Linked DNA regions of Elephas maximus indicus. The protein of the gene in region 1 purifies or fractionates together with the protein of each later gene. This does not show direct contact. Links are inferred from orthologs where the notes say so. Each region holds a gene or a part of one and is shown in the gene's direction. Other genes may lie near its edges. The genes, in order: ZMYND8, ZNF687, MTA2 and TSPYL1.

What was found.
Region 2: the proteins of ZMYND8 (region 1) and ZNF687 purify together in Homo sapiens (affinity purification with mass spectrometry; 4 studies listed by BioGRID and IntAct, with this or other methods). This does not show direct contact. The link is inferred for Elephas maximus indicus from reciprocal best matches to the Homo sapiens genes ZMYND8 and ZNF687.
Region 3: the proteins of ZMYND8 (region 1) and MTA2 purify together in Homo sapiens (affinity purification with mass spectrometry; 3 studies listed by BioGRID and IntAct, with this or other methods). This does not show direct contact. The link is inferred for Elephas maximus indicus from reciprocal best matches to the Homo sapiens genes ZMYND8 and MTA2.
Region 4: the proteins of ZMYND8 (region 1) and TSPYL1 purify together in Homo sapiens (affinity purification with mass spectrometry; 4 studies listed by BioGRID and IntAct, counting the BioPlex papers as one, with this or other methods). This does not show direct contact. The link is inferred for Elephas maximus indicus from reciprocal best matches to the Homo sapiens genes ZMYND8 and TSPYL1.

The regions. Positions count from the first base shown.
Region 1 is NC_064843.1:22,008,099-22,015,047, forward strand, and holds the start of ZMYND8 (protein kinase C-binding protein 1), read left to right. Parts: upstream 1-3,945; 5' UTR 3,946-6,750; coding exon 6,751-6,857; intron 6,858-6,949. UniProt on the Homo sapiens protein: Chromatin reader that recognizes dual histone modifications such as histone H3.1 dimethylated at 'Lys-36' and histone H4 acetylated at 'Lys-16' (H3.1K36me2-H4K16ac) and histone H3 methylated at 'Lys-4' and histone H4 acetylated at 'Lys-14' (H3K4me1-H3K14ac).
Region 2 is NC_064821.1:185,323,296-185,330,959, forward strand, and holds the start of ZNF687 (zinc finger protein 687), read left to right. Parts: upstream 1-4,653; 5' UTR 4,654-4,756; intron 4,757-4,859; exon of another isoform or gene 4,860-4,963; intron 4,964-7,664. UniProt on the Homo sapiens protein: May be involved in transcriptional regulation.
Region 3 is NC_064825.1:125,784,557-125,792,027, reverse strand, and holds the start of MTA2 (metastasis-associated protein MTA2), read left to right. Parts: upstream 1-4,459; 5' UTR 4,460-5,021; coding exon 5,022-5,049; intron 5,050-5,787; coding exon 5,788-5,855; intron 5,856-6,170; coding exon 6,171-6,264; intron 6,265-7,471. Other genes in the region: EML3 (echinoderm microtubule-associated protein-like 3), read left to right, coding at 1-111, 560-711, 793-918, 1,003-1,134, 1,763-1,830, 2,299-2,387, 2,459-2,556, 2,661-2,748 and 3 more. UniProt on the Homo sapiens protein: May function as a transcriptional coregulator. Acts as a component of the histone deacetylase NuRD complex which participates in the remodeling of chromatin.
Region 4 is NC_064819.1:182,883,880-182,891,818, reverse strand, and holds the start of TSPYL1 (testis-specific Y-encoded-like protein 1), read left to right. Parts: upstream 1-4,936; 5' UTR 4,937-5,020; coding exon 5,021-6,346; 3' UTR 6,347-7,939.

The DNA.
Region 1 (6,949 bases):
CATCAAGCCCAGGAGTGGTCTTTAGGAGGCTTGCCTCAGGCTGCCTTTTCAATCCTATCCCTCCCAGGATTCCATCTGCCACCATACCTTTGTCTCCGTCCCAATTGCCGTTTCCCAGATAACCTCAGACCTACCCGGATGCCAGCAGCATTCCTCAAACAGAGCAGGGCTGCCAGAATAAGCCAGCAGCTTCCTGCTCTTTGCCCCAGAAAACATTTCAAGTGATCAAGTGATCAGAGGGAGGGAGGGAGGGGGAGGATGCTGCAGCTGCTTAGGCAACAAGCTTAATCCCTGGGTTAAAATCTACCGCGGGCACCAGCCGCGTATTCCATTTCCTGATAGGGCCGTGGAGTTGCACACAAAATCTGCCACGATCTCACAGTCCTGTACCTTCCCCCACAAGCAGCGCCCGCAGAGACAAACAGTATCCAATATGGGATGGTGGTGGTATGCCCACACAGGAGAGAGCACAGGCTCATTAGCTCTGGCCTCCGCCTCTCAGCACTCCCCCCATTTGATTTCTTTATGCACGTGCCCATCCCCAGGAAGAGTAGGCTCCCCGCCTTGTGGTGAGGCCTGGCCTGTTGTCTGGAGTGCTAGACCTTTGTCAGGCCAGGTCTTGGTGGAGCTGTCCCTCCCTGCATCTTGGTCTTTGCAGCCTAAAATCCAACAAAACCCTGTCCCCTTTCACAAAGCCTGGTTCCTGCCCTGCGGTTGTGTGTTTCAATTCCTGGCATGTCCCTAAGTCTGCTGGATATAATTCCCAGCTAGCAAGAATTTATGTGCATGCGGTGAGCTTCTGTTGTCCATGGGGTCGGGGGTGGGGGGCAACAGGGAGAACAAGAGATGAGCTGTTCTCTTTCTTTGTGGGAACAGTGTGGGGCTAGGAAGCCCACAGGTGCTAATTTTAGGACAGAGGAGACTTTTTTGCTCTGTAGCTTTACCTCGTGGCATATGGCTGCGTCACCTCTGTTGTTCCAGCTTCCTGTTTTAAAAAATCTTGTTAGTTAAGCACCTTGTCGTTAAAAAAAAAAAAAAAAAGAGGAAAGATAGGGTGGACATTTTAAGGTCCTTTTGGATTTGCCTTTTCTTTCTCAGGCTACAGCCTAACTACAAAGGGAGCTTTAGGGAGGAAACTGCCAAAGACCTTCTAATACTATTGAAATCGGTAGAGTTATAAGCAGCTCTGAGAAAGTAGTTAATATTTTACTGGGGAGCAGTGCCAGAGATGGGGGGGCTGCCAAGTGTGGGGCCGTGTGTGAAATAGCTGTTCCATCTGCCTTAGGGGACGAAAAGAAGCCGTTCTCTGTGGAAATAAATTGAAGCAAGAATCCTTATAAAGCTCATGGGATTTGGCTGCCCACCGTGGGCTCAGTTCCCCAAGAACATACATACAGGGGTGATTGTGCCAGAAAGGGCGAACCTGAGGGTGTAGGCCTGATGTATAATGGGGTTTCTTGTTCCCTCGCTGAGTTTGACATCTCTCTTTCTCCCTGTGGATTTAAATGGCTTCTCAGACCGAGAGGCACTGCCTGTGCCCTGGATTCAGAAGGTACACGCCTCCTTGGGAAGCAAAGGCAAGAGACACCACTCTCTCTCTCTCTTTCTGCATCTGCCGGGAGAGCTGCAGCTGGTATTTTTCCACAGGCCTTCTCTGCTATCTCAGGGCCTAGTTTTTCCCAGCCAGGCCCAGAGTCTGAGAGAGGGTTAATAGGCAGGAAGCTGAAGGCATCGCAGACTAATACGGAAGTCAGATTTTTGTTTAACTGACAGGTTTAGCAGGCCTCAGCGGTGGGGGAGGGGGCCGGGAGGGGAAGGGAAGTTTGTAGACTAGGCATGTGGCCTGCTAGGAGCGCGTTTGGCTTTTCTTAGGGTAAGGACTGAGAGGCGGCCCCCTCTTGGCAGCTTGGCAGGGAGGCAGGAACCCATTTTGGTTTTCCTTTTTGTACTGGCTGAGGGGGTGAGATGTTAGATTCCCCGCCGGGAAAATGGCTCTCTGGCCTGCTTTTCCAGGAGGCGTTTTGACCATGACTGTGCAAACTTGACCACTCTCTTCCCTTCCTTCTCTCACCAGCAGAATCCTCTTTCCTCTGAGAAGCCATGGCTGCTTTTTAATGATTTCTTGGGGTTTGCCTGTCTGTTTTCCCTCAGCTCCTCAGAGGCCTGCCTCAAGCCTTGCTTTCTTGCCCCCTTGGGTTGTTTCCTGGAGCTCCCCCCTCCTCAGCTTCCCCCTTGGAGAACCATTCTGCTGCATTGTTCTAGAAAAAGACCAGCCTTCCTCCCAGAAAAGGGCCGTTTCTGTGGAGGCAGGTGAGGATGAGCCCTTCAGCTCACCCCAAAAACTCTCTTTCCAGTGGCATCCGGGCCTCAGGCTTTGCTGGAGCAGGTCAGGCTGGCTGCACTGGCTTGCCCGTGCCGGGAAATCTAGCCAGGGTGTGGGAGAAGTGCGTCTGGGGGCCCCTTTCCCAAGTTTTTCTTGCTGCAAAAGGCCTAGCTTAGCCTGTCTTTTTCTATGCACAGGATGGCTCTTGCTCACCAGAGCCTCACAAAGATAATCGCTCAGGAAGTGTTTCAGCCAATCCGGGGCGGCTTTACACTCCGATTTGCCCGGGCAGCCAATCGGGGATGAGCTTTTATTAGGCGGCCAGATCATCAAGCCGAAGTGCCAAACCCTTTTTCTGTGTGAGAACTAGGAGCCTGTCCTCCATGTTTTATAAGTATTGACATTACACAGTGTTAACAATGCATCCACAGAGGTAAGCTCGACTTTTTAACCATCTTTTTTCCCCCTCCCTCTGAGACATCCGAATTGTGGGCGAGCAGTGTGATTTCTCTGTGGCTGGCCGTGCCACACTCCCCCCTGAGCACTTAGGTTAACTTGGAACTGTTTAGAGAGATTTTTTTTTTTTTTTTTTTTAATGTTGCCTTGGGTCACATGGCTCAGTAGCCATTAGCCATAGCTTGATTTTGCAAACTGGCAAGGGCCTGGCACACCTTGCCTTTCACTAGGGCAAGGTGTTTTGGGAATAGTTTGAAGCTAGATCCTGGTATGTCAAAAAAGAAGCTTTTTTCCCCCCTCTTCTCTCTCTTTCTCTCTCTCAGCAGTTTCTCTCCCTGTATTATTGTCTCTTGTGTCACATGCCTGCTGGGGGAAGAATATGGAAGGTAAGCAAGCAGGCTTCCCTCCAAGGGGAGCTCATGGCAGACAGCAAAGCAGGCAAGTTTACCTCTCCAAAGAGGTTCTGGGAAGGCTTGACTGAAGTTCTGACAAGCCAGGATGTGTGTTTTTAAAAGAACCAAACCCTCAGCAGAGCATGCTAAGGCGAGATGGGAGCCCTCCTGGGGCCTAGGTGGGTGGTGGTGTCTGCAGTATGGTCTTTTCATTCAGGGCTTCTTCCCTTGAAACTACCTTGTTCAGCCTTTTTTCCTGACTTAGGTTAGTTCAGAGTGTTCTTCTGCAAGCCAGCCTACAGCCAGCAAATGTTTCTTAAAGTGTTTTCTAGGCGTTGGAGGAAGTTTTTGGAGTAGGGATGGGGGAGTGGTGGTGGTGGTGGGGTGTTGGACAACATCCTGCAATAAATCTGTGAGGACTCTTTTTGAATCCCTTGGCTTTCTACTCTTGCATGGTTTTCAATGAACTAATGTATCTTTTGTCCTTGTATTCATTTTTCCTTTCCCTTTTTTTTTTTTTTTACATTGTATCATCCTCTGCCCTCCCCTGTGACAGAGTGCAGAGGAAATAAAATCATGTCTGTGGCTCATGACAGCATTCCATATTCAGTTGTTGTGTTGTGTGTGTGTGTGTGTGTTTAATAATACCATGTAACTGTTTAAAAAAATTTCCTTTTTGATCAAGTCCCAAATCTGCCAGCCTGTTCTCTTCTTCCTAACTGTGGAAAAATGAGACGGTTGCTTGAACATTTGTTGGGTAAGTAAAGCAATCCATTTCCTCTGTGACCATGGATAAAGAGTTTTGGAAACATTGGGGGTCTGCTTGCAATCAGGGGGCCTTGGCTCCAGCAACTGGGGGCTTTATTCCCACGAACAAAATGAGGACTTTTTATTAATAGTGTCTTGGATTTTAGGTGACTGTTTGAATCCACTGTTTTTCCAGATAACCTACAGATAGGACTGAAGATTACACTTCCTGTTTACCCTTAGCCAGGGGAGAAATGTTCAGTTCATTGTGACTTGATTCTAGACCTTTAATTGGGGTTGTTTGGATATGAGAACTGTGGGTAGGTGATCTGCTTGTGAAATGTAAATAAATGTGTTTGTTCTTATAGTCACAGAGCCCTAAACATTGGTGGGGCAGGAGTTGGAGGTGGTGGTGTCAGTACTTAGGTTTTAGGATACTTACGTGTAGTGCAGAAATGCCCCCCAGGACCAAACTCAGTTTGATTCAGGACTCTCCTTAGACTCCGGCCCTTTGCCAAGCCTGACCCACACATCAGTATGCAAGCTTGGCTTTACTTATTATTTCTCACTTTTCACATTTCTCCTCATTGCTTAATGCTGTAGCTAGAACTTAGAGTGAAAAAAGTAGACTCTTGTTTAGCGTTATCTTCAGAATTTCCCTAGAAGCTCACTCCATAAAATTTCCAGCTTGGCCACCAATCCAGTGTGACTGTAAATGCTGGAAATATATTTAGTTGCTGTGTTACACCAACTTTATGGAGACAATACTCCTTTTCTTTTAAGTTAGTGTCCACCAGCCCACCTTTTAGCACCAGTTGGAAATAAGGAGAAATGTACCAAATTCTAAGCTGAGAAAAGACTGTGTGAGGCAGGCCAGCTTCTTGAAATAAAAATGCAGGCAGTTCATGATGTTCAATACTTGAAATTGAACAGACCCCCGTACAAGTAAGTTGAGACACTTAGCTTTTTTCCTTTGTTCTTATCTTCTGTAAATGGAAATTATGTATCGAGGTTCTTGTGGCCTCCTTAGAAGCAATATCTAATCACAAGACTTCTGGTTTGGTGCCTTCAACGTTTGCGTAATATTGTTGGGCTGGAAGGCAACTTAAGGACAAGGCATTTGTCCTCTAAAAGCTTGCATTAAAATGGCTCCCACAGGTTTGGAAAGCAAAGATTTGTTTTCAGAAGTCCAGGGTCCCAGCAAGTTCTCAGCCCTGGACCAAGCTAGCCACTTTCCTCTGGTACTGTGGCTACCACCAAGTATGAGTCTGTAAAAAAAAAAAAAAATGTTAATTGCCTTCAAAGTAGCATTGTTTTCCATTTGCACTAAAGGGGGAAAAAAAAAAAAATGTCTGCATTGCAGCAGGGCTAGGTAGGGGCAGCAAGGCCGGCTCCCAGAGAGCAGCCCAATGGGGTTCCTCTCTCTAGCTTTTGAACCAATAGACTTGGAGGAAAGGTTAAAGATTGACAATTGCAGTGGCTGAACTGAGAATGGGCCTTCTGGAAGTTTCTACCGTCTTTGTTCCTTTTAGGAAAAGCAGATCCAAACTCAAGAGAGTCTCCCTGATTCCTAGGGCACCCCTCCCCTTTCCTTTTTACATCCAGGTAGAATGGTCTCTCCGCCACGTTTGTAAGTTGCAGACGGAGGAACAATGCTGGGCTGTTTTTCTTTCTTTCCCTTCTGCCTCCTCAGTCCCCAAAGAGGATGCACAGCTGCAAGGAACAAACGCAGACACACTGGAGCTTTTGATTCCTCTCTCTCTTTTTTTTTTTCTCCTTCAAGACCCTCCTGGATGGATTCACTTTTCTGCTTTGGGAAATTAAGTGGCGTTCACGTGGGGGAGGGGAAGCAATTGCTCTTATTAGCTCCAGAAAATGGTCAGCGTTCAGTCTGTAACTAGGAATTAATTATATATAATCACTCAGTAAACTTTCTGCAGAGTTTTTCTAATTGCTGAGCATGAACATAGCCCACTGGAGCCAAGTCCAGTTACTTTTATAATTAACAGTTCAAAGATTTGAGTCAGAAAGAGAAAAACAATGGAGCCTCTTGGATTATAAATTAGGGATGAAAACAATAGCTTTTTTTTCTCTCTTCTCTCTTGTATCCCGTTTTTCTTTTAAACAAGACATTCCCCCTTTCTTTCCCTTGGAGAACAGTGGGGAAACTGCTTCAGTTCTTAAAGAGGAGAGGGGGAAAATAAATCATTTTTTAAAAAGCGGGATGACAATAACCCAGAAAACCCTGAAGGCAAAGGTAGGTTTTTAAAGTCCAGCCACTTTACTTGTGTGCTGTCTTTGTTTCTCTTGCCTTCTTTCCTCTTCTCTCCTGGGGGAGAGGCAGCAATCATTTGTCAGCATAGGAACCCTAGATCCAGTTTTGCCTCTGGTTGACCGTGGGAATTAAAAAAAAAAAAAATGCAAAGGTGCCTTCGGTCTCCCCCAGCGGAGATTTATTAAGGGAATATGTTTAGAATCCCTTTGGTTGCCCATAAAATACAACACCCAGTGAGGATTCACCCTTGGCTTCAGGTTGCTAAGGCTGCAATTGCCCTTCCCCCTCCTCCCCACTTTCCTTCCAGACAAACAAGCCTGCAGGAGCCATGTCAGCCTCTGCAGCTAGCAGCGCTGCCAGGCTGTCTGTCCCCATCAAGATTACCTACCTACCGGCCGGCGCGACGCCAGGATCCCGTCCTGGCTCTGGCACAGCGGTGGGCACCATGCCCTCCTTTCACCCCTGGAGCTAAAAAAGCAGTCACCTTGAAACTCTCCACTCATGCCGGCAGAAAAGTCCTGAGGCCAGTCCTCAGACCTGTGTTCTCCTTAACATAAATGATATTATCCACTCTTAGGCTCTTAGTTCGGGCCCGGAAAGTGAGTTTTGCAAAACCCCTTTGTTCCTTCTCAGGGCCCTGTTGGGGTGGACAGAAATCTAATTTGTGAGTATCCTGTGCATTGGTTAAATGAGTGTTTTCCTTGTGTTTCTCCTCTGCAGACTCGGATTGTCCTCCCTTGGTGTTAACTGTCTTAG
Region 2 (7,664 bases), on another chromosome or scaffold:
ACGTCCTCTTCTGAATCTGGCTTGAATTTCTGGCAGTTTCGTGTCGATGTAATGCTATAACCACTTTTGAATTATCTTCAGCAAAATTTTACTTGTGTGTGATATTAATGATATTTTTTGATAATTTCCACATTCTGTTGGGTTGCCTTTGGAATGGGACAAATATGAATCTCTTCCAGTTGGTTAGCCAGGTAGCTGTCTTCCAAATTTCTTGGCATAGATGAGCGGGCACCTCCAGCACTGCATCTGATTGTTGAAACATCTCAATTGGTATTCCGTCAATTCCTTGAGTCTTGTTTTTTGCCAGTGCCTTCAGTGTGGCTTGAACATCTTTCTTCATTACCATCAGTTCTTGATCATATGCTACCTCCTGAAATGGTTGAACATCATCCAAGTCTTTTTGGTATGGTGACTATTTCTTCCACCTTTTTTTTTTTTTTTTTTTTTTTGATGTTCCCTACATTATTCAATATTTTGCCCATGGAATCCTTCAAAATTGCAACTCTAGGCTTGAATTTTTTCTTCAGTTCTTTCGGCTTGAGAAATGCTGAACGCGTTCTTCTTTTTTGGCTTTCTAACTTCAGGTCTTTGCATATGTCATTATAATACTTTGTCTTCTCGAGCCACCCTTCAAAATCTTCTCTTTAGCTCTTTTCATCATTTCTTCCATTTGCTTTAGCGGCTCTATGTTCAAAAGCAAGTTTCAGGGACTCTTCTGACATCCATTTTGATCTTTTCTTTCCTGTCTTTTTAATGACCTTTTGCTTTCTTCATGTTTGGTGCTCTTGATGTTATCCCACAACTCTTCTGGTTTTTGGTCGTTAGTGTTCAGTGTGTCAAATCTGTATTTTTTATCGTGCTTTAGGTGAAAGTTTAGAGCAAATTAGTTTCTCATTAAACAATGCACAGATTGTTTTGTGACGTTGGTTGGCAATCCCATAATTTGTCCACATTCTCCCCATTTCTACCTGGGGTTCCCTGTTTCCATTCGTCTAGTTTTCCTGCCCCTTCCTGAGTTCTCATCTTTGTTTTTGGGCTGGTGTGTCCATTGTCCATTTAGTCTTGTATATATGATTGAAATATGATGCATGTTCCTTACATGTGTTATTGCTTCCCTTATAGACCTGTCTAATCTTTGGCTGAAGGATGAGCCTCGGGAGTGACTTCACTACTAGGTTAAAATGGTATCTGCGGGCCATACTCTTGGGGTTTCTCCAGTCTGTGTCAGGCCAGCAAGTCTGGTCTTTTTTTTTTTTATATAATTTTTATTGTGCTTTAAGTGAAAGTTTACAAATAAGTCTCTCACACAAAAACCCATATACGCCTTGCTACACACTCCCAATTACTCTCCCCCTAATGAGACAGCCCGCTCTCTCCCTCCACTCTCTCTTTTCATGTCCATTTCACCAGCTTCTAACACCTCCACCCTCTCATCTCCCCTCCAGGCAGGAGATGCCAACATAGTCTCAAGTGTCCACCTGATCCAAGAAGCTCCCTCCTCACTAGCATTCCTCTCCAAACCATTGTCCAGTCCAATCCATGTCTGAAGAGTTGGCTTCGGGAATGGTTTCTGTCCTGGGCCAACAGAAGGTCTGGGGGCCATGACCACTGGGGTCCTTCTAGTCTCAGTCAGACCATTAAGTATGGTCTTATGAGAATTTGGGGTCTGCATCCCACTGCTCTCCTGCTCCCTCAGGGGTTCTCTGTTGTGTTCCGTGTCAGGGCAGTCCTTGGTTGTAGCCAGGCACCATCTAGTTCTTCTGGTCTCAGGATGATGTAGTCACTGGTTCTTGCGGCCCTTTCTGCCTCTTGGGCTCGTAATCACCTTGTGTCCTTGGTGTTCTTCATTCTCCTTTGTTCCAGGTGGTTTGAGACCAATTGATGCATCTTAGATGGCTGCTTGCTAGTGTTTAAGACCCCAGAAGCCACTCTTCAAAGTCGGATGCAGAATGTTTTGTTAATAGATTTTATTATGTCAATTGACTTAGATGTCCCCTGAAACCATGGTCCCCAGTCCCTGGCCCTGCTACGCTGGCCTTTGAAGCATTCAGTTTATTCAGGAAACTTCTTTCCTTTTGGTTTAGTCCAGTTGTGCTGACCTTTCCTGTATTATGTGCTGTCTCTCTCTTCACCTAAAGTAGTTCTTATCTACTATCTAGTTAGTGAATGCCCCTCTCCCACCCTCCCTCCATCCCCTTTCTTGTAACCACAAAAGAATGTTTTCTTCTCAGTTTAAACTATTTCTCAAGTTCTTATAATAGTGGTCTTATACAATATTTGTCCTTTTGCAACTGACTGATTTCACTCAGCATAATGCCTTCCAGGTTCCTCCATGTTATGAAATGTTTCACAGATTCCTCATTGTTCTTTATCGAAGCGTAGTATTCCATTGTGTGAATATACCATAATTTATTTATCCATTCATCCATTGATGGGTACCTTGGTTGCTTCCATCTTTTTGCTATTGTAAACAGTGCTGCAATAAACATGTGTGTGCATACAAGGTCTGGTCTTTTTGTGTGTGTGTGAATTTGAATTTTGTTCTACATTTTTCTCCTACTTTGTTAGTGACCTTCTATTGTGATCGCTGTCAGAGTGGTCAGTGGTGGACGCTGGGCACCAGTTGTTCTGGGCTCAGTCTGGCAGAGGTTGTGGTAGTTGTGGTCCAGTAGTCCTTTGTACTAATCTTTCCCTTGTGTCTTTGGCTTTCTTCATTCATTTGCTCCAGCTAGGATGGGATCGGTAGATGTATCTTAGATGGTCGCTTGCAGGGTGTCAAATCTACTCTTGAGATGGTCTCCAATTTCAGATGGAATATACTCCAGGTCATATTTTCATTCTTGTGGACTTGTTTTAATTTTCTTCAGCTTCAACTTAAACTTGCATATGAGTAATTGATGGTCTGTTCTGCAATTGGCCCCGGCCTTGTTCTGACTGATTATATTGAGCTTTTCCATTGCTTCTCTCCACAGATATAGTCCATTTGATTCCTGCATTATCTGAGTAGTATATGAGGAGTAATCATTATTATTCCATACAGGAACACCCAGAGGAGGAGGTGGGAATGGAATGCTGGTCGGCTATAGCCAGTAAGGGGCTCTAGTTCCTTGTTCAGGGGCAAAAGTCTGTAATCTGGAACAACCGCAGCCAACCTCACGAAAGAAGGCAGCGGCGTGGGCATGGGGGGCTGCTAATCTCATTTGCCAATCATTTTATAAAGCTCTTTTACATTTAAACTCTTTTAATCCTTACAAAAACAATTGTCAAGTGGGTATTATAATCCCCATTTTACTCATGAGAAAATAAGTTCAGGGAGGTTCAGCGACTTGCTCGGTGGCCCCAAGAGTCTGATCCAGGAGCTCTGATTCACACCTCAATGCAGTCTCCATTACCCACGTAAACTTTCAGGGCGCGCCTAAGAGTCCTGGGTGCAGTGGTCCTGGGGACCCCCCCGCCCCGGTCCACAAGCGGGGCAACAAAACCACCTTGAATCCCCAGGCCCGGGGGTGTGAGCCACTACCTTCGCGGCTGGCTGCGGAGGCTGGTAGGCAGGGTAGACTGGGCTTGCAGATGAATTCAGTGACTTCTCCATAGAGACAGTCAAGGCGATTCATTTTCGGAGTAACTCCGCCCCTTCCCCCGCCTCCAGGAGGCGGGGCAACAAAGCGCGGGAAAACTCTGCCTCGGACCCCTCCCTCCCGTGCTAGAGGTGGGGAAAAGAGAGCTCTTAAACGGGAAATGGATGTGTGCGTGTGGGGGGTCCCCCGTTCCATGCTTAGGAGGTCTGTCAGTACGTCACTTTAAGTATGCCCCTTTGGAAATGGCCCAGGCCACGCCAGCACTCCAACGTCACCTCTTCCCCACTTCCGGTCTCCGCACTGGTCCCAGGTTTCAGGTCCTCTCTCCTTCCACACTCCAATCCCGCCCTCAATCCATGCCCTCCCGCAGGGGGCGGAGCTATGGGTGATGCCATCCCCGGGAACCGGCGCGCGCGGGGCTAGGGGCATGAACACCCATGTCTTTCCGGACTGTAGGATAGTTTAGACAGTGGAAAACCGCGAGGAAATGGTCAACCAGATGACGTAATGTTTTGGGTGACGTCTCAGTCTGTGATTTCATGAGCGGCACGATTGAGAAAACTGTGCAAACAGATCTACACATCCGGGCCCCACTCAGAGTCGACAAGGCTCTCCTCAAAGTGCCCACCAAATCGAAGCTGAGAGTTTTCTCAATATGGATAAGTGAACTGCAGGCTTAAAGGATCGCCACCAATGGGGAGTGAGGGGGCGGAGATGCATCTGGGATAGTCACCTCCTCCAGTAGGAAAGCAGGGAATCAGGTTGGCTTTTTCTAAGCGACAGCGGCAGCTACCAATAGTTTTTGAGGTGCACGGATGGGGCAGTTGGGCCTCGGAACAACCAATGGGGAGCGGCATCTTCAGAGGGACTAGGCACCTTGCCCAATGAGGATGAGCGGACTGTGCGGCTCTGGTTACGAGCGGCAGTACTTAAGGCCAATCCTGCCCGGGGCTGGGCGGGACGCAGCACTGATCGACGGAGGTGCTACCCAATGGCGAGTGTGGAAACGGGCAGCCCAGACCCGGAGCGCGGAGGGAGCTGAGGGAGGGGGGCGGCTGAACCGGAGAGAAGCAGGAAGTAGCGGCGGCCGCGGGGAGGGCGGCGGCGGCGGCGGCGGTGGCTGCGGCTGGAGCAGGGCAGAGACCGCCGGGTCTCGGCCCGCACTAGGAGCGGAGCAAGTAAGCTTGCCTGGGGTAGATACCCGCTCTTGGTCCCGCCCCCTGGGGGGGCGGGTAAATGCCCCCGCCCCTCCCCCACCTAGTTAACTGCCCCCTTCCCCGCACCGCCCCCCTGGGGCGCCCTGTAGGAAGGCCCTGGCGCCGCCTCCATCCTTTGGGGCGGATGGGCGAAACTCCCAGCCTGTTGAAAGCACAGCCCCTAGCCGGGTAAACATGGAGGGAGGGTTGGGGACCCCAAGTCCTGGAGCCCCCGGCCCGAGCGGCGCCCGGAGCGCGGCCCGGGGACTGGAGGCTGCGGGATGTCGCGACCTAAAATGGTGTCCGTGCCTGCGGGTGGGGGCGGGGAGCTGGGCCAGGCCGGAGCCGAGCTGCACCCCGACTGGGCGCGGGTTAGCGCCCCGGCCCAGGCAGGAGTCAGGCTCGCGCCCCGGGCCCGCCGCGCGCCTCTGATCACTCCCCACTTTCGGGAAAGCCTCCAGGAGCCCGGGCGGCGCGGAGCTGCGCTGCGCAGGGTGGGGAGGGCAGGAGGTGGGAGTTGGGACGGACCCCGGCCGGAGAGCGGCGGGTCCCGCAGAGGGTCCCCTCCCGGTTTCCTTTCCTCACCCTCCCACCCGTCGTCCTGGGCTCGGGGGTGCTGCGCCGCAACTCCCAACGGGCCTGGCTTGTCTGCGGCCCGTCCTTTCGCACGTCGGTGGGGGTGAAACGCTGCGCGCCTCAGTTTCTCCTGTAGCTTTTTCTGCACACAACCCGCCCCCTCCTCACCACCCCAGGCGTGCTCACGGCGTCGGCCCTCGGCAGATGGCAGGGACTTAATTCCGCCCGCTGCCCAGCGTGGCTGCAGCCTAATCGCCCCCTGGCCGCCGGCCCCTCGCCCTCCCCTGTCAGCGTAGGCCCCAGGCCCGGGCAGAGGGCTTTGGAGCCCCCACCGGACCCGAGCCAGTTCACCCTCTTCCTGTTCAGCTTCTTCCTTTGGTTTTTGGGGAAGAACATAGGGAAAGGGGGTGGGGGGCAGGAGCCCAAAAGATAGGGCTCAGCAGTCGCAGAAAGGCCTGGCCTGAGCCTGGGCCTCGGGGTGAGGTAGCCTCCTTGGCCTTGAGCTGGGCTGCTTGGTTGTCTGTCCGCTGTGGGTGGCCATCGGATGACCTCTAAGTTGCTTGGACGCCAAAGGAGGAGGTGATCAGGGGAGGCAAGTTAGCAGGTGTTTTCGCATAGTCCCCACTGGTCTGTGCTCACCAGCCCACTTTTCTGAAGGCCTGAGTGGAAGCTTGTACAGGCCTCTCCAGGTCTGGAGAGAGCCAGGCAGAGCAGGGCCTTGGAGGCCCTTCAGGGTAGAGGTAAGGGATGAAGGGCTTTGTTTAAACCCAAAGTCTGCAGAATTGGAGTGGGGGTGGAGGTGGGGTGGAGGGAGGATTCCTCTTTCTGCCTCTAGTTGGTACCCCCTCCTCCCACCCCCACCTTGGTCCTGGCAGTGCCAGCTGCCACCTGCTGGGACTTTCTCCAGTTACAGTCTAAAGGCTGGAAAAAGGTGAGAGAATTGGCCCTGGGAAATGGCTCTCTTGGGCAGGGAATATATAAGGAGAGGGACTTCTTCAGTTACTTTTTCCTGGCTATAGAAACTCTGGAAACCCTGGTGGCGTAGTGGTTAAGTGCTACGGCTGCTAACCAAAGGGTTGGCAGTTGAATCCACCAGGCGCTGCTTGGAAACTCTACGGGGGCAGTTCTACTCTGTCCTATAGGGTCGCTATGAGTTGGAAAAGACTTGATGGCACTGGGTTTGGTGGTTTTTGGTATAGAAACTCTTGTAGGAGTTTAGTGCCTCATAAGTCTTGTGGGATTTTTTTTTTTTTTTTTTTGTATTGGGCTAGGTTGGGGTTGGGTGAGACTTACTGGGCAACCGTTGCCAAAGGAAAATTAAAAGGGTGAGGAGTTTGAGTTAGGAGATAAACTGGGGTGAGGAGCTCAGAGCTGAAATTAGAGGAGCAAAGGAGCCTGGATTTCTCCGTTGTGATTGCTGGATAAGGCTGCACCCTGGAGTTTTAGCCCTGAGAGAGCAGGGTGGGGAGGCAGGGAGGGCGGGCTAGGGAGAGTCAAGGTACTCTGGGGAAGGTCCGTGAGCGAGCAGCAGGTGTTTGTGACTGGAGAGGCACAGGCTGGGGCCCTTGTGACCAGGCTGCTGTCACCATTTTCCCCTCTGTCTCCTCTTTGTCTCTTTCTCTTTCTTTGTCTTATTTCCTTCTTGGTCTCTTGAGTGATTTCCCTGAGTCCATTTCTCCAGTTGGTCTGTTGATCAATCTAGATCTCTAGGTGTCAGTGAAGACCCCAGCTGCCCTAGACTTGACCTTAAATGACCCTTGGCTGTTGTCTGTGACCCTGGCCGTGGATTTCCAGTGCCTGTTCCTTCTCAGCTCTTCCTTGACCTGACATGTTCTAATCTGACCCAGCTGCTGTAATAATAAACCACTCTCGGGGTTCTAATGCTTAACATTTACAATTTCATATCATGCTCAAAATGACCCTATGGTGTATGGATTACTTGTCCCTTCTTTCAAACAGCGAGAGTAAGATAGTGAAGGAACATGCTTATACAGCATACCGGTGATAAAATTGTAACAAGGAGTTGCTTACATCTTTGGTTAAGTCGGAAACCCTGGTGGCGTAGTGGTTAAGTGCTACGGTTGCTAACCAGCAGGTCGGCAGTTCAGATCAGCCAGGCGCTCCTTGGAAACTCCGTGGGGCAGTTCTGCTCTGTCCTGTAGGGTCGCTATGCACTGGAATCAACTCGACGGCAGTGGGTTTAGTGGCTTGCTTAAGTCACTGCCCCCTTGTACATATGGCTTTTCAGATCTCTGTAGACCCCAAAAGATCCAAAAAAAAATATCGTTCATGCTGGCATGAATGAACCCTTAAA
Region 3 (7,471 bases), on another chromosome or scaffold:
TTGTGTTCCTCCCTGATGGAGACATTCTTACTGGGGACTCAGAGGGGAACATTCTTACCTGGGGGCGGAGCCTCTCAGATTCCAAGACCCCAGGCAGGGGTGGGGCCAAAGGTATGTGGTTGGTGGTGGCACCTGGGAAGTCCTGTACTGCAGAGAGCCTATGGGACCAGAGGAGAGGGTTTCCCATCTTATTACCTTGAGACTTGATAGTTCTGTTTGGAGGCTCATGGGAGGACTCTGGGGGGCTGGTCTAAGGGTAGGGGATGGCGTGGCAAAGGGAAAGGGCAGAGACTTTGGAGTTTGCCACCTCCTGGGTTCAAATTCCAGTTCTGCTACTAGTGTCTGGCCTTTGGAGAATTACTTCATTTGAGCCTCAATTGTTTTGTCTGTAAAATGGGGAGAATAGTAGCCATATTGGCAGCCATTAGGATCAGAGACAGTATTCAATAGGCACCCAACAGCAGGGAGTTACTACCTTCTATTGTGATGGCCCAGGCTGCCTCTGCTTCCTACTCTCCTGCACCCCAAGAGCATGACCCACCTGGGGTTTTGCCAACAGAGACCTACGGGATTGTGGCCCAGGCCCATGCTCACGAGGGCTCCATCTTCGCCTTGTGTCTTCGGCGGGACGGGACAGTGCTGAGTGGTGGTGGGCGGGACCGCCGGCTGGTACAGTGGGGGCCTGGACTGGTGGCCCTCCAAGAGGCTGAGGTAAGGCTGGGCTGGGGGCCACAGAGGGAGGGCAAGAGGGATGGCCTGCTGGGCCCTGAGTTTTTGCCATCCCCTCTGCAGATTCCTGAACACTTTGGGGCCGTACGGGCCATTGCTGAGGGGCCTGGCTCGGAGTTGCTGGTGGGGACCACAAAGAATGCATTGCTGAGGGGGGATCTGGCTCAGGGCTTCTCCCCTGTCATCCAGGTTAGGGGGCCAAGCGCTCAAGGGAGGAGGGAGGGAAGAGCAGTTGGGGAGGGGCCAAGGTGACAGCCCCATGCCCTGCTGCAGGGTCACACGGATGAGCTCTGGGGGCTCTGCACACATCCCTCCCAGAACCGCTTCCTCACCTGTGGCCATGACCGGCAGCTCTGCCTGTGGGATGGGGAGGGCCACGCGCTGGCCTGGAGCATCGACCTCAAGGTAGAACCCTGTGTCCCTGGATCCCCTACCTTTATGACCTTTATGATTTCCGTAATCTCCTTTTTTCTGCTCTTGGAGGTAGCCAGCTTGGACTGGTATAGCTGAGCTGGCTATTAAGGTATTAATCCCTCTGTACTGGTTGGTACAAGCTGCTGCCTTTAGTGCCCTGGCCTCTCCCCTGAGGGACCTCTAAGACCTCCCTTTGATTCAGCAACTAAGAGGTTAATTTCTGGCTTTGTAGTTTGCCACCTGCTGGGTTCAAATCCTAGTTCTACTACTAGTGTCTGGGCTTTAGGGAGTTACTTTACTTCTTTGAGCCTGAGTTGTCCTGTCTGTAAAATGGGGAGAACAGTAGCCATGTTGGCATCCACTAGGATCAGAGACAATATTCAACAGGCACCCAACAGCGGGGAGTTATTACCTTCTATCGTGATGGCAGCAGGCCTCAGTTAAATATTTTGAGTATCACCCCTTGTTTAGGCTCCAGTGACACCCCTATCCTATCCCAGGCCTATTGGCCCTCTCCTCCCCCATCTCCTCCTTGGGAGGAAGAGGCTTTGACAAGATGTCGGTCCTGGTTCCCTCACTTGAAAGGCATCTTCTTGAATTTAGCTTCTCTCCCTTCCAGGAGACTGGTCTCTGTGCTGACTTCCACCCCAGTGGGGCAGTTGTAGCCGTAGGACTGAACACAGGGAGGTGAGAGGGAGTTAGCACTCCTGGGAGGGGAAGCAGGGAGGTATGGGGAGGTGTTCTGGAAAGGGGGAGTGGAGGAGACAGACCACTGCCTGCTCAGGAGCCCCAACTGCGTGTTCCTACCGCTCAGTCCTTCTCACACTTTGGGCCTCCCTTGCTCTCTCGAATAACTGTTGTCTCCTCCAAGCTGGGAGTAGAGGAGGTTGCAGTCCAGGGTAGACAGGCTGAGGGGACTGGAGGGAAGACAGACCCTTGTAGTGGGCCCCTGGTCTCTAGTTCCTGACTGCTTTCTGAGAGGATGCTTAGCCCTTTCCCACTTCCCAGCATAGGAAAGCAGTGGTGGTTTCTCTGTCTACATCCCAGCCTTTCTGTGGGCTTGTCTGAGGGTCTCCAATTTGCCAACTCCCACCCTGCCCAGGCCAGCTCCCTGGGTGTCTCCTTACCCCCTGCCTTTCCCTCCCTCCCTTCCAGGTGGCTAGTTTTGGACACGGAGACCAGAGAGATCATGTCTGATATCACTGATGGCAATGAGCAGCTCTCTGTGGTCCGGTACAGCCCAGGTGAGAGCCATCCCCACCCTGGCCCCAGACCCCTCTCTGGCCTCCTCCTCTCTGAGTGACTGTCTTTGCAGATGGGATGTACCTGGCTATTGGTTCCCATGACAACATGATCTACATCTATAGCGTTTCCAGTGATGGCGCCAAGTCCAGCCGCTTTGGCCGCTGTGTGGTGAGGAAGCTGGGGTAGAGGGTGGGGTGTTGCTACAGCAGATAGACTTGCGGGGCGGTCAGGAATAGTGGCTGCGTTTTTAACCTCTTGACCCTTGCTTGCAGGGTCACTCCAGCTTCATCACTCATCTCGACTGGTCCAAGGATGGGAACTTCATCATGTCCAATTCTGGGGACTACGAGATTCTTTACTGTGAGGGGCAGCAGGGGAGGGCATGGGGAGAGGGTAACTGAGGTGGGTGTTACTTGTGTGTGGGGGTTCCTGGTTGGAGGGGATGAAGGAGAATGGGTGGGGTGCTCCAGGCAGCTCCAGGCTGTCAGACAGGGAGGTGGAGATGAGGCTGAAGTGGGGGCAGAATAATACACAGGAGAAATTTCTTGTGATTTGGAAAAACATAGTTTTATACTACATTGTGTTCCCACATGAACTTGAGGGATTTGAAAAATACACTAAGATTCCTGCAGAAAAGTTTCTCAGGACAGGTGCAGAGAGATTGATTTATCTAGGGAGCAGAAACTGAGGAGAAAGGGATAGAACTCAGGAGCAGGAGACTGGGGAGGGTTGCTTCTGGCCAGGTGGCTACCATGATGATCAGACCACAGGGCCACCGCCTCAAGCCAGCCTCTCCAACCTGGCCTTCCGGGGCATCTTCCCGCTGTCTGGGCCGAGGGCAGGGTGAGACTGAGCTGGGTGGGCTCCCCCTCCCCAGGGGATGTGGCTGCAGGCTGCAAGCTGTTGCGGAATCGCTACGAGAGCCGAGATAGGGAGTGGGCCACCTACACCTGCGTGCTGGGCTTCCATGTTTACGGTGAGTAGGAGCGCAGGGGCGTGGAACCCTACGGGTGGGGTGGGGCGGGGGGGAAGGACAAGGTGGAGCCCGCCTTGGGCTCAGAATGCTGGGTGTCTGTCCAGGGGTGGGGGTCAAGAAACCAGCAGATCCTGCTTGGGAGGCCCCAGGGGGTCCTGGGGCCCGGGAAGGATTGCCTGGAAGGCAGCCGGTGGGTGGCGTGAGTGCCCGAAACGGTACCGCGTTGGGTCGTGGGTGGGTGGCAGCTGGGGGGGGGGGGGGGGCCGGGCTGAGGACCGCCGCTGTGCTAGGCGTGTGGCCCGACGGCTCGGACGGGACCGACATCAACTCCCTGTGCCGCTCCCACAACGAGCGCGTGGTGGCCGTAGCTGACGACTTTTGCAAAGTGCACCTCTTCCAGTACCCGTGCGCGCGCGCCAAGGTGAGGCGGGCGGGACCCAGAGCCGGGCGGGCCGGGGCCGGGCGGCCGCCGCCCCTGCAACTCGGCATCCTCCCGCCAGGCGCCCAGCCGCATCTACGCGGGCCACGGCAGCCACGTGACCAGCGTCCGGTTCACGCACGACGACTCGCACCTCGTCTCGTTGGGCGGCAAGGACGCCAGCATCTTCCAGTGGCGCGTGCTGGGCGCGGGGTTGGCGCCCGCCACGCCCTCGCGAACCCCATCCCTGTCCCCCGCTTCCTCCCTCGACGTCTGACCGCTGCCGGACCGAGGCGACCGGCCTCTCGGTGCGCCCCCGCCCCAGCCGCATCCCCCAGGACCAGGGGCCGAGCCTTGCCTCGACTTCGAGACATTCCTGAGGCGAACGGACCCCGAGCACACTGTAGAAACCCGCTGGCCGAGCCGGACAGTCCCACCTTGGGCCCCGACTCCCACCGACCGCTGAGGGGCAATAAACCAAACCCAAAGTGGCTTCCCTGTCCTTTTGTGGGGCACGGCTGGGGCGCCTCCGGGCCTTGTGTGGGTGGAGAGGCCTGCGGAGAGGGTATGGGAGGGTGGGCCATTTATGCAAATAAAAGGTAAAGCCGCTTGCAAATAGACGCGTGAAGAGCGAAGCCGCACAAGCCTTTGGCGGCCTCAGGGCTCCGGCGAGGAGAGAGTTAAGCCCAACTCCTCTCCCGCCCTCGGAGGAGGGGCCGAGCTGTAACGGAAATCACCGAGCACCGGGCTGCGGTTGGCCGAAAGGAGCCGAACGCTTTCCGGAAGTAGCCGATCTCTGGGGTCTCGCTCTCCGACCTGAGCCGAGCGCGGGGCCTTGTTCTACCGATCGGCCGAAGGTATTCCGGAAGGAGGCGAACCCCGAGGCGGGCAGGGCAAGCCTTCCTGGCGGCCGGCAGGGCCCAACGTCTGGTGGGGCTTGGCGAGGGCGGGGGGAGCTGGAGCCTGGCTCTGGTCCGGCAAGAGCCGAACTCGTTCCGGAAGAAGCCGACCGGACCGGCGCCGGCCTCGGCGTCCCGGGCGTGAGGCGGTAGCGGCGGCGACAGCGCGGGCCGGGATGAACCGCGACGGCTGAAGCGGCGGAGGCGCCGGTTGCACGGGCCCGACCGAGACTTCCGCGAAGCTCCAGCCCCGCGCCCGGGGCTTCTCCTCGAGCCGAGCCTTGCCCCAGCGAACCTCCCGGACCTCTTTGTGCGGCCGGAGTCGGCGGCGGGAACGGCCATGGCGGCCAACATGTACCGGGTGGGGGGTGAGTACCGGGCGCGGGGGGTGTGGGGCCCGGGGCGGGAAGGGTTGGGGGTCGGGACCCGAGGGGCTCGGCACTTGGCGGCGCGGCGAGCCGCGTCTGGGGCGGCGTGGACCGGAGCACGGACCGGAACCGGAACCAGGAGCGAGAGTGCGGGGACCGCGGCGCGGCCGAGCGCCGAGACCCGGAGAGAGGCTGCGGGGCAGCCCCGACGGCGCTCTCGGGACTGCGGCGGGGGCCCCGGGTCGGAGAGTGGGGCTGGGGAAACTGGCTCCGAAGGGTCTGACAGGACACGCAGGGGGCGCGAGGGGTCGGGGCGACGGCTGTGCCACCTGCGGGGGGACGAGGGAGGGAGGCTCCGCGGAGGGGCGCCCGGAGGTTTCCTGTCCTTGGGTGCTATTGTGCTCTGGAGTGAACAATCGCTCATTTTGCCGAGACTCGGGTGCAACTCCGTCGCGGAGCTGTGCGCTCTGCGGGGAAACCCCTGCTTCTTGTCTCTTTGCGAAGTCTCACTTTTGAGCGAAGGATCTGACTTTGGAACTAGGTGCGGCGGGGGTGCGGAGCCGTCCCCATTTTCTTATTCTCTCCACTGCCACATCTCAGCGTCCTAGTCTCTATCTGGACTCTTTTCTCCTTTTGGCTTACTCAGGTGGACTTTCTCTCCTCCCACTCTGGGGCTCTGGCGCTCCTATCTATCTCCTCCACTGATTTTTCCCGGCTCTCCCCCTTCCCTCCCCCCAGATTACGTCTATTTTGAGAACTCCTCCAGCAATCCTTACCTGGTTAGACGGATTGAGGAGCTCAACAAGGTGAGTGAGCAGAGGCTCTCTGCGCCCCCACCCCGTAACGGGCTCTTTCTTCTGAGGGGTCTAACTTCAGATGAAGAGAGGACCCTAGCTTAAGTACTCATTCATATTCATTCATTCAGTGCTTTCAGGAAAGGCTTATTGAGAGCTTGGTGGGGACTTTACTGTTCTATCTCTTGGGGACAAAAGAAAGGGATTTAGAAGGCTGTCGTTGAATATTGGCATTTCTAGGATCCTTTAGAAGCGTATTTTGTCTTTAGTCTTTGTGAAGTTCTGTGTTCAAATGACCGGTTTTCACTGCCACTTTTTTCCCCCCAGACTGCAAACGGAAATGTGGAAGCAAAGGTTGTCTGTCTTTTCCGGCGAAGGGACATTTCTAGTAGCCTCAACAGCCTGGCTGATAGTAATGCCAGTGAGTGTCTTTAACCCGGAACCCCGCGCTTTTTTCCCTTACCCCATGGTCTGAGGCCTGGGCATGTCCCTGCACGTGCTTCCCCTGGTATCATGCCCAAGGCGGGTGTGAGTTTAGGGGTGGGAGAATGCCTGGTCTGTGGAGGGAGGCCTGTTTTTACATGTTGGTGTTGGAAGCAGGGTGGAGGGACCATGCCATGCTAAGGAAAGCGAGAATATGGTCAGCGTGTATGTGTGAACATGAGATGTGTGTGACATGTGAATGTGAGCGTATGTGTGGGAGAGAGTTGGTAATATTTAAATAGAGGGTGAGGAAGAGCTTTTAGAGAAGTCAAACCCTTGGGACAGCTTTGGCTACGTTGGGACAGTGGGTAGTGGCTGAGAAGGGCAAGGTGAAGAGGAAGAGGCTGTAAGTGCCGGCCTGCAGAACAGGGAAGGAGGCTCATCTTGTGATCACAAGGTGGTGAGAATACACTGGAGGAGAGAATGGGAAGCTAGGAGAAAGGAAGATGGCAGGAAAGTTTCTTGTACTTTTTCTCTTATGTTTCCTTCTCTACGCCATTTTACATCGTTCTGTTTTCTTTTTGCCTAATTTTCCTTCTTTAAGCTTTCATCTTTACATATATATGATTATGTATGTATGTATATGTGTATATATGTGTATATATGTATATAACCCAGTGCTGTCATATATGTGTATATGTATACATATGTGTATGTGTGTATATGTGTATATTTGTATGTATGTGTATATATGTGTATATATATATATGCTTCTGGGTTTTCTGTTTTCCTTAGCTTTTTTTTTTTTTTCCTTGCTTTGGTTTTCTTTTCCCTTACTAGATTATTTTCCTGTTTTCAGGCTGCTTTGGGCATGAATGGGTTAATGAAGAGCTTGGTTTACCAAGTTCCCTGGTCCCTTTGGGGTTTCCAGGGCCATCTGGCAGGGGCTGACCTTGGCCTTGTCCAATCAGAAGGGGTGCAGGGGGTGTGGTCCCCTTGCCTTAGCACCGGTTTCCGGAGCACATAGGGGAGGGGCGGAGCCTGGGAGGGGGTGCCCTTCTCCCTGAGGTTGGAAACAATGCGCCAATGAGCCGGGGCCTGAGGCTTTTCTGCCCCTCCCCCTTTGGATGGCTCCCAGCCAAGTTAACCCTTTCCACCAACGTTTGAGGGCAAGCTGCAGCTCCTTGGGGAGGAGGGTTTTGGCA
Region 4 (7,939 bases), on another chromosome or scaffold:
AAGAGAAAGAAAATTGTGTGTCAATTTAACATTAAATAAAGATGGTCTTACACTCTTAAGAAAGTGACTTCACTTTTTTCTTTAGAGAGGGTAGCAAAGCCTCTTGAGTCAAACTTCCTAGGTACAAATCATGTGTCTGTCACTTTGTACATCACCTTGGCTAAGTGTCTCAGTCTCTCTTTGCCTCAGTTACCTAGTGAGGAAAATAACAGTCAAAATAGCATTACCCCACAGGGTTCTTATAAAAGCTGAAAATACCTGTGATCATGCTTATAACAGTACTAGTACACCAAAAGTAGTAAATAAATGAAAAAACCCAAAACCCAGTGCCGTCGAGTTGGTTCCGACTCATAGCGACCCTATAGGACAGACTAAAACTGCCCCACTGAGTTTCTGAGGAGCACCTGGCGGATTTGAACTGCCGACCCTCTGGTTAGCAGCCGTAGCACTTAACCACTACGCCAACAGGTTTTAAATAAATGAAAGCTATCATTAATTACAACCAGGAAACATATCCTTCTGCAAAACAATAATGTCTGCTAAACTGATTGCCACCCGAGAAATCATTGCTGAAGACTCTATGATTCCTCGATATGACGGAGAATAGCTTCATGTCATTTTTTTTTTTTTTTTGGTGGATGTTTTCCTGAAGAACCACAATCTGTTCAACTACCTTTTGGTTTATTGCCAATTGCCACAGAAATGCTCTGTCATATACAGATATAGCCTATATTCCAAAGTACTAAAAGGTAATGTATAAAACATGGCCAAAATACATATCCCTCCTTCAAATAAAATAAAATGCCAATGTAGACACATTGTTAGTTTTTGTAGGATCATTTCAGGTTCTATTTTATTCAAAGCATCAGATATTGTTATCGTTATGCTGAGTACATGCAACAGAAGAAGCTACAGTGCTCCCATCCCTTGGGAAGATGCTGAAATGCTGGGATGATGAGACTGACATGTATGGAACAGTCACTAAGAGGAGGAATATAATTAAGTGCTACATTGCGTGGTAAACCTTATAAAAGAGCTCTAGGAAGCTCAGTGAACTGCAGAGCGGTCCAGGAAAGCTGCATCTAGGAGAGGGAGGAGGAGTTTAGCGGTTACTACAGGAAAAAAAAAAAAAAAAAATTTATTTTTTATTTTTATTTTTTTACAGGAATGATCTTGGTTAAGTTAGTTAACCTTTCAGAGTTATTATTTCCTTTTTTATAAAATTTAAAATTTTCATGCACATAAAACGCCTAGCACATTCTAAAGCAAGACAGGTTTATGCTCGGTCTTGGAGAATGGACAGGATCTGCCTAAAAAGATAACGTTTCAAAGAACAGATTAACCTGTGTCATGAAAAAGACACACATCTCCTTCTTAAGACTTTAGGTATAAAATGTTAAGAAAAAAAAATCCACAGGTAATATCCCTTTTACAATAATTATCTGTGGCAAATAGTAACCACATTTTTTTTTTCCTGCAGGGTAAAATAATTCCCCCTAAGCACATAAATCTTGGATCAGGTTAAAATCCAAGAAAGTACCTTCTTCACCCATGCAAAAAATAATTTAGGAAAAGAAAGGGAACAGAGTATGCAAACCTGCTTTTCCCTCTAAATATCTGCCTCTCAGTGGCCCATCTCCTCTGCAGTTGTTTAATTAAAAGTTATTAGAATCTGGGCTCTCCATTATCTATAATGAAGAGTTAAAATCATAATCATTTCTCTATTGTGATTTTCAGATAATTAAAATTCAAAGAAATGTGTCTCCTCATTTTCTGTATTTATTCATTCAAATACAGAAATATTCTGTATCACAGCTTTTTCAAATGTACTGACAGGAAGAGTAGGATGCAATTCTCCAAAGTGTCTTAACCTTATCTGGGGACATTACATTCAGCAGACTCCTGATTACATTAACATAACACCATCCGTAATTGGAATCTTTCCTAACATTATCAGTTAGAGGGCTAATTACGCTTTCAGAAATCCTAATGGTGACTTGGACAAATAAGGCAGTATCTTCTACGACTGGCGAAAGTCTGCTATTACTTTTTGCTTTAAAATAAAAGTATATTACAGCAGTAAAAGTTTCCACTTTAGGGCAAATTAAATTATTTCCATTCCAAGATAGAAGATGATTTCATACAATTAAAAAGAAGTGGGCTTTGTGGAAAGTTCCATTATTCATTCTTATCTCTACTAAAAGTAATTTCAGCCATGCATCGAAGGAGCTATCCATTTCTTGCAGAGGGAAAAGAAGTAAGGCCTGGAATCATTCCCTTCGCTTGCACAGAAAGGAGAGAAGAATCAGAAGAAGAGAAATGCTGTGCTGGTAGTTGGAAGCTGCTTTGCTATGTAAACACCTTTCAGAGTTTGTTTGTCATGCAGTGTGACCACACAAATGTAAATTATTTATAAAACAAATTGTTTTCCCAGGCTTTGATACATATGTAGAAATTCATTCTCCCGGCTAGGAGTTTGCTACTGCCGACAGTAGGTTGGTCCTCTGGTTTGCCAGTGGCAGCTGGAGAGCGGGGTGACAATTCATGTGCCCCTCACTTCTCTTTTGCAAACCCAAAGTTGTAGGCAAGAGAAACTGTGTTCTGTTTGTTTGCTAATTCATTTAACATTCTATAACGTATGGAACACTGTGCCAGGCATTTGGTACATAGTAGTGAACAAAACCATGTCCCTGTCTTCCTAGAGCTCACAGTATTTTCTCAAATATCTTTTTTTTTTTTTTGTAGGTTTTGGTTTTAATTTTGTCTTTCTGTGTATTGCCTAAGTACATTTATGGCCCCAATGTCCAAAAAGAGACTCCCACCCAGTGCCTCAAGCTATTATAAATCCCAGCTGTCAGGAAGGATCTCAGGGAAAGCAACCAGCAAGGTTGCAGAACCTGCTGCTAGAAAAAAAAATTGAGGCAAGCAGATTCAATCAAACTTCAATCCAAGCTGTACTAGTTTTCTATTTCTGCTGTAACAAATTGCCACCAACCCAGTGGCTTAAAACAATACAAGTTTATTATCTTACGGTTCTGGAGGTTAGAAGTCCTAGAATCCGTACGTTGACAGGTCTGCACTCCTCTGGAGGCTCTAGGGGAGAATCAGTTTCCTTGCCTTTTCCCGTGTCTAGAGAAAAAAAAAAATTTTTTATTTATTTTTGTTTATTTTTTAGAGGCTGCCTGCATACCTTGACTGCTGGTCCTTCCTCCATCTTCAAAGCCTACAGCATAGCATTTCAAATCTTTTTCTCTCTCTCCTGACCTCTACTTCCACCACCACATCTCCTTCTGACTCTGACACTCTTCTGATAAGACCCTTTGTGATTACATTGGGCCCACTCAGATAATCCAAGATAATCTTCCCATCTCAAACTCCTTTACTTAACGATATCTGCCAAGTCCCTTTTGTTCTAGGAATTAGAACGAAGGCATCTTTGGGGGCCATTATTTGTCAGCCTAACACACAGGCAAAGAAAATAGGGGGAAAATTGCCATTTCTACATCTTAAATCAACTAGCTGTATGTTTAAGTTCTGCAAGTTTGTTTTCTACTTCAAGGCCATTGTGGTAACACATTGTAACCTGTTTTTCTTTTTTTCCTCATAAAAACGGTGGTGGATGCCCCACCCCCCATCGGTATTTCTCTGATAGCTTACAACTTTGACGAGCTTTGTTGGCACAGTTGTTACAAGCTGGGCTGCTAACTGAAAGGTCGGTTGTTCGAACCCACCAGCTTCCAGGAAAGAAAGATGTGAGTCTGGTTCCGTAAAGATATACAACCTTGGAAATCCTAGGGGACAGTTCTACTCTGTCCTATAGCATCGCTATGAGTCGCAATCAACTGGACAGCAGTGGGTTTGGTTTATAACTCTAAGATGCCAGTTTTTCTCACAAGCCAACAAACTAAAACATCCAAAAAGACACTGACATCCCTCTCAAATGAACTCAATGAGCTGATTGCCCTGAAAAGATACTTCATTACAGTCAACCTTTCTTACTTTATAGAACTAAATACATTAACCGTTTATGGGGCTGGAAATAGCTGATCATTTCCTCTTTCCTGCAGGAAGAGACCATGGAGTAACATTTAGCAAATTGTTCCTGGCTTCCTGCCTGCAGACCTTATGCAGCATAATCTCTTGAATGCAGATTATAAATTAAGGACTGACAATAAACAATATGTATCACTTTAGTAGTTTAAAAAAAAAAAAAGAAGAAGAAGAAGAAAAAAAAAAACCTCTGAGTAGCTTTTTGTCCCAGTAACATTACAGGCTCGAATTTATATTTCCTGCCACTCCTACTTGAGAAAAGAGAAACAATTTGCTACCCACTTAGTTAAAAGTGAAGCTTTTGTTTCTAGCCATTATGGAATAACAAAGGATATATTTATTTCCCTATCTAAAAAAAAAGGAAAACTGGAAAAATAATGTTTTCAGACGTAGTACAGCAGTACAGAGCTGTGCCAGTTACAGGCTGGAAGGAGTTTCCAGATACATCGCAGGGACGGTCTCACTGCCTTCAGACTCAGAGATCCTCATTTTTGTAGTCCTTATATATATATGGGAAGGAGTCCCGGTGGTGCAGTGGTTAAAGCGCTGCGTCCCTTCGCTGTGTGAGGCAAAAAAGTGTTAGTCTGCTTACGTGAACATTACAGCCTTGGAAACCCTATGGGGCAGTTCTACTATGTCCTACAGGGTCATTATGAATCAGAATCTACTTCAAAGCAGGAGGTTTGGTTTTGATTTTGGATATTTATGTATATCGTGCAGATCAACGTTTATTAAACCAAATTACCAATCCAACTGATTAACGCTAGTACACTTCAACAATAAGCAGCGGCGGACCCAACCCCGGGGCTCAGCGAGTCTCGCGCTGTGGCGAGAGCCTTCAGCTCTGACGTCATCGCCAAGGTAAAGCTCGCGAGACTAAGAGTGGGTGGTGCGAACGGCCGGTTTGTCTGGAGTGCGGCTTCTTTGAGGAAAACCGTCGCCCGCTAGCCGAGGGTCGCCAGCTATCAACATGAGCGGCCTGGATGGAGGCGAGAGGACCCCTGTCTCCGAAGTCTGCAGCATCACTACTCCCGACCGTGCCCCAGGAAACCCGGACCAACACCACTGCGAGAGCCTCCGAGGAGAAACCGAGGCGACGGCGATGATGGCGGAGACGGGTAAGAGCAGCTTGGAGACCGTTGAGCCCCCACCACCCCAGCTTCCAGAGGAGAGGGACGCACCCCGGGACCCCGCGGCCTGTGGCGACACTTCCCGGATTCGAGTCAGTGGAGATCGCAGTCATCTGGAGACCACAGCGGGGAACGAAGAGGCTCCGCCTCCCACAGAGAGCCTGGAAGCAGCCTCTGCCTCCGTGGCAACTGATAACAGCCTGAAAAATGACTGTCTGGGTGGAGAGCCTTGCGGCTCTGGTGGGAAGAAGGCCCTAGAAACCTGTGACGAAGGGAGCTCCGAGTCTGAGGCGATAGTTGGGGCGAAGGCCAAGGACATAAAGACTGAAACGTGCGCCATCTTGGTAGTAGCAGTGGAGGAGGAGAGGGCTGAGGTGGTGGAAGAGAAAATGGAGAAGGAAGGAGTAATGGATGAGGAGGTAGTGGAGGAGGAGATGGAGATGGAAGAGAAGCCAGTAGGTGAAGAAATGGAAGTGGTGGAGGAAAATAGAGTGATAGAGGAAGCGAGACCCCGGCCCCTGAATATGGATCTCCGCATGAACCCTCTAGAGGCCATTCAGCAGGAACTGGACACTGTGAATGCTCAGGCTGACAGAGCCTTCCTCCAGCTGGAGCAGAAGTTTGGGCGGATGCGTCGACACTACCTGGAGCGCAGGAACTACATCATTCAGAATATCCCCGGCTTCTGGGGCACCGCCTTTCGGAACCACCCCCAGCTGTCCGCCATGATTAGGGGCCAAGATGCAGAGATGCTAAGGTACATAACCAATTTGGAGGTGAAGGAGCTCAGACACCCTAGGACGGGCTGCAAGTTCAAGTTCTTCTTCCGAAGAAACCCGTATTTCAGGAACAAGTTGATTGTCAAGGAATATGAGGTCAGATCCTCAGGCCGAGTGGTGTCTCTTTCCACTCCCATCATCTGGCGCAGAGGCCATGAACCCCAGTCCTTCATTCGCAGGAACCAAGATACAGTCTGCAGCTTCTTCACCTGGTTTTCAGACCATAGCCTTCCAGAATCTGACAGGATTGCTGAGATTATCAAAGAGGACCTGTGGCCAGATCCACTTAAGTACTACTTGTTGCGTGAAGGGGCCCGTAGACCCAGACGTCGCCTGATAAGGGAGCCAGTGGAGATCCCCAGGCCATTTGGATTCCAGTCCGGTTAACCTTTGTCCTTGGAAATACTCTAGCACAGGGTCCCCAGACCTGTGCTTGGGCAACGGCAAGGGTATGCTTTCTACTTTTTCTGTGCTGATTTTTCTGCGCCTTCCCTCTGGACATTCAGCTCTCTCAGCCTCCAGATTGAGACTTTCATGCTCCTCCACTTTAACGCGATCTTTGTGCTGTTCACCCGCTCTTGTATTAACACCACATACTGCGTGGCCATGGTTCACACCACTCCAAGGCAAGCACTAGATGCCGTAGATTACACTTTATCTGCACTGCTTGGACTTTCTTTATTTCAGGGGTCTCGGCTCTGGCTACCACCACCTGCATTTCTAGCTTTGGCTCCTACACACCTTGCTCTGCATCTGGCAGTCAAGGCACATGGCCTCTGGACAATTGGCTGGGTGTTAATGATGTCAAGGGAGAGCAGCAGTGGGCTACTTGGTTTGTGTGACTCCATTGGTCTTCCTACTTGTCACTTTCTGTTGCTGCCTCCTCCTGACTATGCCCCCTCTCCTTGGCTGCAGCCTTCTGAACAATCGCCTTCTAGACTGTTGTCAGCCTCACTGTCTGATTTCTAGTAAACAAGGATCTTCAAAACTGATGGTGGACCCAGGTTTCCAGCCAGCACACAAAAGATGCCTCAATTCCTCACACCCCCACCCCCCAATCTTCCAGAAACCCTATTGACTCTTACACAAATGGTTAGAGTCATCCTCATGGCAAAGGTGAGGATGATGTCCTTTCCAAGTACCAGGCTTTCTCAACCTCAACCAGTGAATTCACAAAACCTAGGTACCTTTATTTGCTTCCCTTCCTCATCCTGAACATGATAAGTTTCAGGGTAGCAGTAAATTTTTTCTCTCTCTTTAAAAGAAAAAAAAGTGATAGCTGAGAAAAATCTGTAAAAGCAGGCTTTTTAGTTTAATTTGGCTGTCATTTCCAGAAACAGGTTGTCCTATAAAATAGACTGCCAGAATTCTTATTGCCCCTGTACTGTCTTTCCAACTCCATGTCTCCCTTTTTAGAGAGAGATCTAAATACAATGAAAGATGATTTCTAGTTTAGAGTGGAAGAATTTAAGAGATTGTGGTGGATGCTCTAAGCAGCAAAAACCAAACAAAAGGCCAGAGGCAGAAATGAGCTACAGAATTGGGGCTAGAATTAAGATTGAACTGACAGAGCCTTTGAGAAAGGGGTGATGGGAGGAGAAATACTTTTCTCGGGTTTGGGATGGATAGAATTGAAGTGTTAAATAATACATTTTTTTTTTTTTTTTTAGAGTAGGGTTCTTTAAGGAAACGATGCAACTTCAGGTGTTTTCTTTCTTTCATGTGACCTTATTTATGTTGAAGATTAATACTGTTCCTTTTATTTCAGTATTATATAAAATGCTGTTACCTTTTATTTCTACCTACTGGAATAATTGAGCTGTACAGGCTTTCTTTTGCTTTCAGTTGGGAACATTTGGAAGCATATCAACCTTATTTTCATGTACAATATTAGAAACTTATTTGAATATTTGTAGCAGTTGTCATCTTATTTCTGTTAAAGCTGTATCCTTAGAAATATAGTTCGAATAACTTGGTCTT